Linked DNA regions of Neodiprion lecontei. The protein of the gene in region 1 binds, or shares a complex with, the protein of each later gene. Links are inferred from orthologs where the notes say so. Each region holds a gene or a part of one and is shown in the gene's direction. Other genes may lie near its edges.

What was found. Proteins that work in one complex are often made in the same cells at the same time.
Region 2: exosome complex component RRP45 (region 1) and exosome complex component RRP4 share a complex: the UniProt entries of both Homo sapiens proteins name them as parts of the RNA exosome core complex. The link is inferred for Neodiprion lecontei from reciprocal best matches to the Homo sapiens genes EXOSC9 and EXOSC2.

Annotation. Positions count from the first base shown.
Region 1 is NC_060265.1:3,641,089-3,646,929, forward strand, and holds exosome complex component RRP45, read left to right. Parts: upstream 1-1,662; 5' UTR 1,663-1,957; coding exon 1,958-2,023; intron 2,024-2,233; coding exon 2,234-2,328; intron 2,329-2,394; coding exon 2,395-2,617; intron 2,618-2,735; coding exon 2,736-2,953; intron 2,954-3,035; coding exon 3,036-3,263; intron 3,264-3,369; coding exon 3,370-3,503; intron 3,504-3,679; coding exon 3,680-3,762; intron 3,763-3,955; coding exon 3,956-4,082; intron 4,083-4,333; coding exon 4,334-4,395; 3' UTR 4,396-5,157; downstream 5,158-5,841. Other genes in the region: histone deacetylase complex subunit SAP30 homolog, read right to left, coding at 5,490-5,618, 5,734-5,841. UniProt on the Homo sapiens protein: Non-catalytic component of the RNA exosome complex which has 3'->5' exoribonuclease activity and participates in a multitude of cellular RNA processing and degradation events.
Region 2 is NC_060261.1:25,394,770-25,399,979, reverse strand, and holds the start of exosome complex component RRP4, read left to right. Parts: upstream 1-1,979; 5' UTR 1,980-2,105; exon of another isoform or gene 2,106-2,219; 5' UTR 2,220-2,250; coding exon 2,251-2,384; intron 2,385-2,427; exon of another isoform or gene 2,428-2,680; intron 2,681-3,406; coding exon 3,407-3,647; intron 3,648-5,019; coding exon 5,020-5,210. Other genes in the region: T-complex protein 1 subunit zeta, read right to left, coding at 440-576. UniProt on the Homo sapiens protein: Non-catalytic component of the RNA exosome complex which has 3'->5' exoribonuclease activity and participates in a multitude of cellular RNA processing and degradation events.

The DNA of each region.
Region 1 (5,841 bases):
CAATTTTGCCATCATTAGTTTCACAATAATAATTATCTTTCGTGCTGCTGCAATAAATATTTCAGACTTACACGCGCGGTGTCTTCGAAGCGTGTAACAAGCCATGCAAACGTTTGTGTCTTATACCCTGGAGAAAATTTCTACAACTACGAATTTTTACGCAAGTCGGAACATTTCGTATCATTTCTCGACGAATTGTTAATTTTCGTTAACAATTGTAGTAGCTTGTAAATTCTTTTATTGAAAGAAATACAAATTTTCATGGTAAAATTGACGAGTTTTCTTGAGAACCTATGCACATGTACAATTTTGTAGGAATACAATTTTTTGCACAAAATTGTACGAAATTTCCGAACATCCCTAACAATTTGAAGAAAAACGTTATAGAAATCATTTTCACCAGCGTAGCGTATGCACATTACGGGCTACAGGAAGTACAACGTACTCACGAATTTAAATTTTCCTGGGATCGATGTAAAAAAGGATCATATTCGTCCTCTTCGACTTGTGCTGATCTACCCTCTGACTCTCCGTGCTTTAAACCTCCCGAAGGCTTAGCTGGTTTTTCAATACGCTCGCTCATTGTCAGTTGACTAATCTATCTGGCTAGATATTCATTCGCGATATTTGTCGGTATAGAATAATTTCAGCAAATACCCACATTTGTATCATAGAATTGATTGTAAAGTATTTAAACAATTTTAAAAGGTTATATACATCACCCGATGTCAAGTGTCCCATATGTTTGTCAGAAGCAAAAAAAGCATTCTACGTACCAAACAATTGATGGGTGACAACACACACCTGGAAAAACTGGAAATGCCAGGGTATTTTAAAAGGGATCATTAAAAAACCTAGAATTTTCAGGGGATTTTTAATTTGGTCATGGAAAATACTGAAAATATCAGTTTTCCATCATGGGAATAAGAAATGATTTTTTGAGGTAACAAGTTTTACTTTTTTTCGTCGAGATAACAAATTGGCTTAAATTCCCTTTTTTGTAGATCATATTTTTCTTCAATTCGAATTGAATTTAAACCGAATAATAATAATAAATAAACCTGGATAATCTCGAAGAGAAAACCTAATCGTGAAACAGTTGTCATAAATAAAACGCTGGTGGAAACGTTTGTTGCACCCAACGTATAACCTCGGAGCCTCGGTAGCGCAGTAGGCAGCGCGTAAGTCTCATAATCTTAAGGTCGTGAGTTCGATCCTCACCCGGGGCATTATTTTTTTACTCTTCCAAAAGCAGTAATTGACAATGAAACACCTCCATTCTGTGAGCTATTCTACATTCCATCATTTTTTATTTGGTGTATTGCGAATGGATTCTCGATGTCAATTAACGCCAGGTAATGTCAAGTTCATCACGTCTGCCTTTCAGACCGGACGCTGATCGACATCAAGCATCCAAGTGTTTCTTGGTATTGAGCAAAAAAATTCTTTCTCTGAGGTTGCATCCGTTGTTATTTTATAAAAATATTGATATCCTAGTTTTATTTTAGTTGAGTTTAGTTAAGAATCGTCTTCACGATGCAATCTGAGGTACGCGAATCCTACGCATGTAAATTCAACTCCTGCTCAAGCGTTGGCAATAAAAATAAGAGACTGGTTATAAATCAATCGAATGCAATTTTTTCTTTCATCTAATCGTGAGTGCGTTGACTGAAGATATACCATTCCTCTTTGGTTCAACCCTTATATTCGGGGGGCAATATTATCGCTCTGCACTTGCCGCCCCGTTTTACAGAATCCCAGTGTAAAATCACGTCTGTGAAACAGAATACTGTAATTTCCTCCGACCTACTAACCGTGGAGTAAAGTCCATACGGTTCGCATTCTTTATTGGTTTGAATTTCGAACGAGTCGAAGATAAGATACGATTTGTTGTTATACATTTACAAAGAAATTAAAATAAATTGTGTGAAAGCGTTCGCAAATAAATTTATACAGAATGAGGGAAACGCCGTTATCAAATTGTGAACGAAATTTTATAAATAGAGCAATAGCCGAAGACACGGTAAGTCAGAATTGTACTATTCATAACCTCTTGTTACAGCACGTTTTTTTTTCTACTTATTGTTGGTCTTGACTTTATAAAGTGTACGTATTTCAAACCTATATCAATATTGATTCTACCCGTATATCCTCCACGGTTAGAACAAAATTATTGCTACGTTAACTAGTTTCTAACCTATCATTAATGGGTTTTCCTAATTATCTTATTCAGCGTTTAGATGGACGACAATTATTGGAAGCTCGACCAGTGGAAATCCATTTTGGAGCAAACTGGGGCTGTTGTCACGTAGCTTTGGGTGAAACTAAGTAAGGCGTTACATCTTATGTTACTGCTTAAAAATTCATATTTGTCACTGGCTGTACATTTTTCAGAGCAATTGCCCAAGTATCCTGTGATATTCAGCAGCCAAAGGCATCGCGTCCAAATGAAGGCATGCTTCATATCAACGTTGAGTTCAATCCTATAGCTGCCCCACACTTTGAAGCAGGCAGACAATCTGAACTTGCAATGCAAGTCAACAGGCAGTTGGAAAAATGCTTTAAAGATTCTAGATGCGTCGACTTGGAGTCTCTCTGCATTGTAGCAGATGAGAAGGTGATTTTAATGCGGCCGAATTAACTCGAAAAGAATATTTTTGCATCAATTGCTTTGCGCTAAGTTCTTTGATTAGTGCAATGTGAGAATGCTGCATAGTTAGTAATGATTTACGTAGGTATGGAACCTGCGGGTAGATGTCAACATTCTCAATCACGACGGCAACCTTGTCGATTGCGCTTCAATCGCTATACTAGCTGCACTGACACATTTTCACAGACCGGATGTCACTACCACTGGTGATTCAATAACTATCCATTCGTTTGCCGAGAAAGATCCGCTCCCGCTAACGTTACATCACTATCCAGTATGCGTTTCGTTTATTGTCTTTGAAAGGTGAAGAGAGAATTTGTTAATTTACAATCAAATAGTCATTTCTCAGTTTACTTCAAGCTAAAAGCATTTTAATCTTTTTCAGTGGCCAAATCGTTATGGATCCTACTTACATGGAAGAGAGAGTAGGTGCATCGCAATTAACCCTAGGATTAAACTCTTACAGAGAGCTCTGCAGCTTGCAGCTCTGCTATTTGGGCAAGACATCTGTGACGGCTGATGTGGTGCCGAGCATTTCGCCCCATGCAGCTAATTATGCTAACAAATTAGTTACGCAGATTAGAAAAGCAGCACAGCAAGATGTTGAAGCAAAGTAGGTTGGCTTCATTTCAAGAGTTCAAAAGCGTTTCTGCATCCGGAATGTAAATCTTGGTAAGAACTTGTACCGGCCAACAATTGTAATATTTATACAATTTCAGGTACAACAAAGAAGATCGCGATGTATGTCGATTGAAGGAATGCATTACATTCGGAAAATTGACGGCAATGACAAAACCTAAGCTCAGTATTAAACTTGCGCACTGGGTTGCTGGGAAAAGCAGCCCCAAAAGTGGTGAGATTAGTGGCCTAGTTTGCATTAATGATGTTTACTATAGCTTGGCAATCAAAATTCATAAGAGATCAGTGGTTGGAGTAAATATCAAAAATTCCCACTCTTTGAAAATTTGTAATATCGCATTTGCTGTTATTTATATTATAATTTGGGGTTTTGTAAAATTTCGTTTTCAGATATGGAGACCAGTGATTTCCAAGATGAGGATGACAATATTAAAACACTTGGGCATGGATCTGCTGAGCTCATTACTAATATGGTACACATTTTCTTGTATTCGTTGTCAATGACAAAATTAGCATACTTCAATCTTAGTTATTCAAACGAGTTGACCTGATATAAATATTTAGTTTAAAGTGCTGAACTTAAATTTTTACCAAGTTCAATCATCTAATTTCGCACTGTATAATTTTCGTGACTCGAAACTATTCGTGTTATTACTTTTGTAACAGAGTAAATCAGTCGGAGAGGGAGGCCCCAATACTTGGCAGGCATCTGAAGAATCCTCTGATGATGAAATCGAAGATATTGAAATCTTACAGGAAACGAAACTAGAGAAAAAAGTGTTGGACGATATAGGTAACCTTTTCTGTTATTTGCCAAATTTAAAATACCCAATAACTTTTCTAGATTTAGTTTGGAATATACTCAAAAGCTTTCCAGGTCGAGCATTTTATACGATTACATTCAGTGACTTCATTTTTTTCCCCTAATAACGATAAAACTTTTTTGTCAAGTACTTTAGACAAGTTCAGTTTCGGAAATTTTACACAGCATACGTAACTACTTATTAATAATTCATAAACACTTCAAAAGCAATACTTTTACAGATTTAGGTGGTGACAGCGAAGAGGAAGATACTGTAACCGTCAGCAAAAATGATATCATGTAGTTTAATAGAAAAATGATCCCAAACATTTCTTGCATTCATTTCCACACGACAATTTCTCTCATTCCCCGTTTCAAAACATGCATTTATAAATTTATCAGAGTACAAAGCTTGTGATGATACATCAATTAAAATTATGAAGAATTTGTGATGTGAACTGTTTGCTCTGTACACCATTTTTATTCTATATTTTATTTCACAATCAGCGAACTTAAATTGTGTAAAGACATACCGAAAATGAAGAACTTTTTGCGAAAGGGAGTGAAAAAGCAACACGATTTTTTTATATAAAAATGTATCTGGGTCGAATAAGGTACACCATAAATCTTATCTGCAAATATTTTTAGGTACTATGTAGGGGAGCGGCGGGCAAAATGGGTCCCCTAAGGGGAAATAACATTAGAACAGTTTCGATAGCGCTATTTTTTTCGTCTTTAGCCTAAGCCTACATTTCAAGCGTTATCGAAAATTTTTTAAATCTCATTTGAATGTACAGAGAGCCCATTTGGCTGCCTCTCCTCTATAAAGTTCATCCGTATTCCCATCTAAATTCAATATCACCAAACATTTTCCCTTAATTCGTCGATACTATTGCACTTCGCGTTAGTTGATTTATTCCCTGAGAGAATTTACACTGAATTGTTCAAGTAAATCGAATTGATGTTTGAAAAAAAAGGCAGAAGCACGATATTCCGTTGTGAACAACGATTTTGAAAAGTAAACCATTTTTTTTAGTTCCATATATGGATACGTTCAATTCATGTATAATTTACAAAAAAATTAATTTCGAAATCAGCTCAATTGTATAGAATTAAAGTGGATAAATTATTATTCCGTATAACGAATTTTTTTTACTTAGTTTGAAAAGTGGATATTTATATTCTTAGAAATAAATTAAAAATACATTGATATATAATATAATAATCTCAATCATAAGAATTGAGGGAAAATAAATATCACATTTAGATTTAAATATTTTCATAATGTTTCTAGGGCTATCAATCTATCTTAGTTTTGTGTCGAAAGCAATCTATTCGATATACCTTGCCATACGATTTCCAATGTAAGTGTAGAGGACACCGAGTGACAAGTCCATGTTACGTAGGTTCACTGGTCAATCCATTCTTCTGATCTAACTTATTAGCATTAGTCTTAACAGTGAATATGAAGAATGTGAGAGCTTCTTTTTCCACGACAGGAATTGTCTTGAAATGTTTCATGAGCGTCTGTAACATTGCAAAGCAAAATAAGCATTAGTTGACATTCGTAGTCTTTCTCCGCATCCATCTATAGCTGGTTGTATGATTTTTCAAGATGATAAATAATGGAAATTCAATTTACATCTGCTAGTTGAGCTTTGTTCAGTCCAGGTCGTGTTGAGATTTTGTAGTGACGTTTGTAACGGCGCAAAGTTCCGACTTGAAGCTGAAAAAGGTCAGCTTCTGGCAG
Region 2 (5,210 bases), on another chromosome or scaffold:
TTTTTTCATTTTATCATAGATTTTCTGAACTTTTCTCACTCGATCCACAAGTCTATTTCTATTATCATAAGTTTGAAGACATTTCAGCACTCGGATAAAGTAATAATTATAAAATACAATTTGCCTTTACAACTACTCAATAATAGGTCTGAACAACATTTATCACTATTTTCGGCGTTTAAAACCAAAATCAGTATAAGGCCTCTATGGGTGTACGTGTATATAAGTGGATGTAATCATTGTGGATGACCTTATATGGACATAAATTTTGATACGTTAATTGGCTACAATACATGAGCTTGGATTTTATGATTGAGAACGGAATGAAGGCTCATTGTAACAGATAGAGCAAATTATTATTTTGGCGATTGAGACAGCGCCGACGAATTGACATAGGTTGGTGGTTTGTGTGATCACATGTGCGGCGAAATCGACTTACATCTTCATAGTCCCTTTCGGTCCCAGGTTTGTTCTCATCACATCTTGGATGCCTTTTGCTGCCGATATATTAACAGCCAGAGCTTGAGCCGCTCGTGCAAACTCAGCTTTCGGGTTTAGGAGACTAATCGCTGCCATTTCTTTATTATTCTTATAATAAATAACGTAAGATAATCGTAACGCCGCGAATACACCCGCTTCGAGAAACAACTGCAGTGCCTTTTAGATCAGAAAACTTTCAATTAATGAATGTGAGTAATCCACGGTATAAGAATAAGAGGTGGTCCGACTGCCTCATACTCCCTGTGTTGAGCTCTGTGATTATTATGTCTTAGTACGACGGAAATCCGCCAGGGACCTCATGCGTCGGTAAGGATGAGCAAGGTCCCTAGATTAGGAAGGTCAAGACACGTTTGTTCCAGTTTTTCTCACTATAACGTGGGAAAAAATGTTCTATGCACGTTCGCCCAAAAAACATCAAACTTACATTACCGCATTAACCAGTTTTGACCAATCTTGTTCAATGTTTTGAGGTTAAGCATTAACGAGTTGCGCCCCTAGTGTCCTGACGTTCACGAAATAAATAGAAGCACGTATATATTTTGAGGTTAATCATTGTGACAGGTCAGAAATCAGAACCACACCAAGTGCTTTCAATTTAGAGCACAGTGTGACACAGCGTACAAATTTCTATTGTAAGCGGCCAATCCGGGCAAAGGAATAGACCAGAAATGTTTACACCGTGTCATATTGTGCTCAAACTGGAAAGCATCCATTGTCATACGAAACTTTTGGCGCATTCTCACTAATTTTTTTTTTTGCCCACACTTGTCTTGACCTGTCTAATCTAGGGACCTTGGCAACACCATAGACTTATAAAAATAGACTGAGCGCTCCTATAAAAGGCACTGACAATTACATATAAAGGACAAAGATATACCAGGAGTACTGCTCTCTCTTTTCAATCGGCCTCATGGTGGGAGACAACGGGGCAGTGGAACAGCTACAGATATAGGCGCATAATTTCGCCTCATTCTCCTCTACCGCCTCTATCCCCGCCAGAAATATCGTCAGAGAGAGAAAGGAGTACTCCCGGCATATTTCTGTCCTTCAAATGTTTGATTCAAGCGGCTCACAAGAGCGCTCGCTCTATCTTTATAAATCTATGGGCAACACAGAGAAACCTACAGCGCCACAGTCGGTCGAATGCGAAAGTGTACCTACCTATGAATATAATGGTTGCTTTCCATTTACTGACTCAAATCGACTCGTGTCGCTATTTCTGGTGTAACCGGCCAATCTGGGCAAAGGAATACACCAGAAATAGCGACACAAGTCGACTTGAGTTAGTAAATGGAAAGCACCCAATGGATCCAGCTCCCATTTTAAAGTGTACTTTTGTAGAGTTAGGCCCGGTCCACAACCTCCACACCTTGACATTAAAACCGAGTTTACCGCTTTAACCTGGTTGAACCGAAGGTTATAAACCAACAACCTATCGCAGCGCCGGCATTGCTTGTTACGCTGCCCCTGATGGCTGGCAACATAAATAAGCATATATACTTGTTATATACCTCTATGAATTTGGCAACAACAGCTTATTTTGTTTTGCAATTCAGCGCGTATCTCCAGCCTATCCTGCAGTACCAATAGTGAGCTAGTACAAAGTATGAAAGTATTACAATCAGTTGTTTTAATTTTAAATTGTCCATACGATTTGAAAAACTTTATTAACCGTCATAAGAATCCGCAATAATTAAACAGTGTGTTTCTTCTACAAGAATACTTGAGGATACAGTACATAACCTGAAAATGAATGATGAAGACATGATCCGCGTGCGGCTGGCAGTTCATCGCACAAATACGAATTTATCTAACGGTGACCATGGGATGCCCAGATATTATACACCCGGTGAAGAGGTGTGTAGTCAGCCTGACTTCATGAGGTACATCATAATCCATCTTATCCAATGAGCTCTTCTATCTCCCTAGTGGCTATTACCTATTGAGGAATGTGCTAAATCCGCTTATACCTATTTTCCCGCTTTTTCCAATAATACTCCTTACACAGTCCAACCAGATCCCGTGTGACGCATCACCCAATAAACGAGTGAAGATTAAATCCATTTTAATTGATCAATAGAAAATCCAAAAAATAAAATTGCAATTGTTATAAAAGCTTGGATTACTAGTTGAATCCGTTCCAACCGTAGTTTCTGTACCAATAAAGGCTGGTTATCAGGTATCAGGTATCATTACAGTTATAGTCATTGGAATCTATTAAATACAAGTAGAGTGTAGGTCAAAATATATGAGCAATTATATTTCAGAATTCGGAATCTTGTCATAGATTGAATTGGAGTTATAGCAATTTGAATTTCCACAATAAAGATCGATACGAAAACCATCAACGCACTAATGCTATTCACTGATTAACATGGATTTAACCTGTTGCAGTAATTAAACAGAAATAAATGGATTGAACTTGATTTGACAATGACGTATCAAACTGCATTTCAAGTGAATTTAAAAGTGTACAAAACAATCAAATGAAAATGGATAGAGATGTGATTATACAGTATAAATTGAATTGAGTCTTAATGATATTATGATCGTAATAAAAAAGAAATTAAATCAAAACCGTAGGCAATTATTCAAAACTATAAAATGATTGATTTAGTTTAACCTTTGTATCATGCCATCAGTTTTCTTCTGAAAATCGGGGTTTACAGCCATCAAAACAAATCTGTTTCAAAACGGTCTAATATACCTTTTATTTTTTTTTATTTTCTGGGTAAAGCAAAATCACTGAGCTTGATTGGATGAATGAATGTCTGCAGAGTGTTATGCATGAAAGTTCTTAATCCTATTTAAATTCAAGCTATATCACCAATTATGTACAAAGAGGACTCATGATTTGAAATTCATTAACTTTGAATTCAATTCTGTGTATTGTAATGTTATAAAGAGGTCATGGGACATACATGGATGACAATGACACGCTGCGCGCATCCGTCGCTGGTGTGCTAGAAAAAGTGAATAAACTGATATCTGTGAAACCTTTGAAGGCACGATACCAAGGTGAAATTGGAGATGTAATTGTCGGCCGAATTACAGAGCTTCAGCAAAAACGCTGGAAGGTTGATACTAACTCAAAATTGGATTCGGCCCTACTTTTATCCAGTGTCAATCTTCCTGGTGGAGAATTGGTAGGTTTGATTACCCCATCAATTTTCTCTACAATCTCCATGCAAAACAAGATTAGTGTTTTTTTTACAACGAAGTTCAATTTAGTAACAATGTTATTACAATACTGAAAAGTAATCACTGTTGTGCAGCACTAGGTTGCCTTACTGCCTTATTAAAATTTTTTGTTTTCCGAACAATCCCAATTTTGTGAAATAACGTGATTTCTCAGACATATGTTGTTACATCAACGTTACAAACCATATTTCGAATATTACTCTGAACTTGAGATGTTTCTAAGAACGAGTGTTTACCTATATGTGATTTACTGCACTTAAGGTCATGTAGTACTTCTATCTTTACTGACCGAGCAAACTCACCCTTTTTATCCCTATATTAAATACACAGACGAACGAAAAGGGTTTAAATTTTGACGGTGCATCTTTTCTTATGTATATCCCGAAAATCATGAAAAAAAAGTATGGTTTCTTGACATGTGTAACTATTGACATTGACGATTTTCGCGATATGAGTAATTTTCCTGAATGCCGCTACAAAAGAGCGATACATCATCGAAATTTGAACCCTTTCCGTTTTTTTGTTTTTTTAATATAGAAAAAAAAAGGGTGAATTTGTTCCGTCGGTAAAGGTAGTATTACAAGACCTTAAGGTTAAATGGGCCTTACTGTCTCAATGATAATTGGAAAAGCGAAAATTCCGTTCGAAAAATCACCTACTATGTTATATGCACCAATGATGGTGAACACGGATGAAGCAACATCCTAACTGAGTAATAGTAATAAGGATGAAGTTGGTAAAGTTATTGCAACGATGCGTGGTCGGGAAAAATCGTTACTTCGCATCTTCAGGATTGTTTAAAATTTAGTAAACCATAATAAACAAAACCTATTCATATCTTGAAAAGCCAACTCGTTGAAAATCATTCTTAAATTGAACAATATAATTATTTTTTCCCTGCTTTTTGATTACGGTAACGTTACTAACTTCAGCTTCGTTAATAGTAATAGTTGGAAGTAAATTTGATTAACACAAGCTGAAATATCAATAATATGAGAAAAAGTTTAATATTTAAAACATTCAGAATGATTGAACTCTGGTGCTTGGTGATTCTAATTTAATGTTCTGACCTTATTTTGTTGATTTTGAAGATTTCTGGAATGTTTACCAGACAATTTGCAAGGGTGGTCTAGTCAGTGAACAAAATGAATCCAAAATCTTTAGATTCGGACATTTGTGTTCACTATCATTGACGCAAACAACACTGCTGGAAATTTTTTTAACGGTTCTTTTCTCTATTTCCAACTTCTCACTTAAGGAGTACGGCACATTCATTCCTATGTAGAATGTCTGTCATTATTCAAAAATACCTTTCAGAGGCGGAGATCAGCAGAGGATGAACAAACGATGCGACGTTACTTGCAGGAGGGTGATTTGATATGTGCAGAGGTGCAAAATGTCTTCGCTGATGGTTCGCTGTCATTGCACACAAGGGTTTTGAAGTATGGAAAACTTTCGCAGGGGATTTTGTTGAAAGTGCCACCTTCGCTGATTAAACGAAAGAAGGT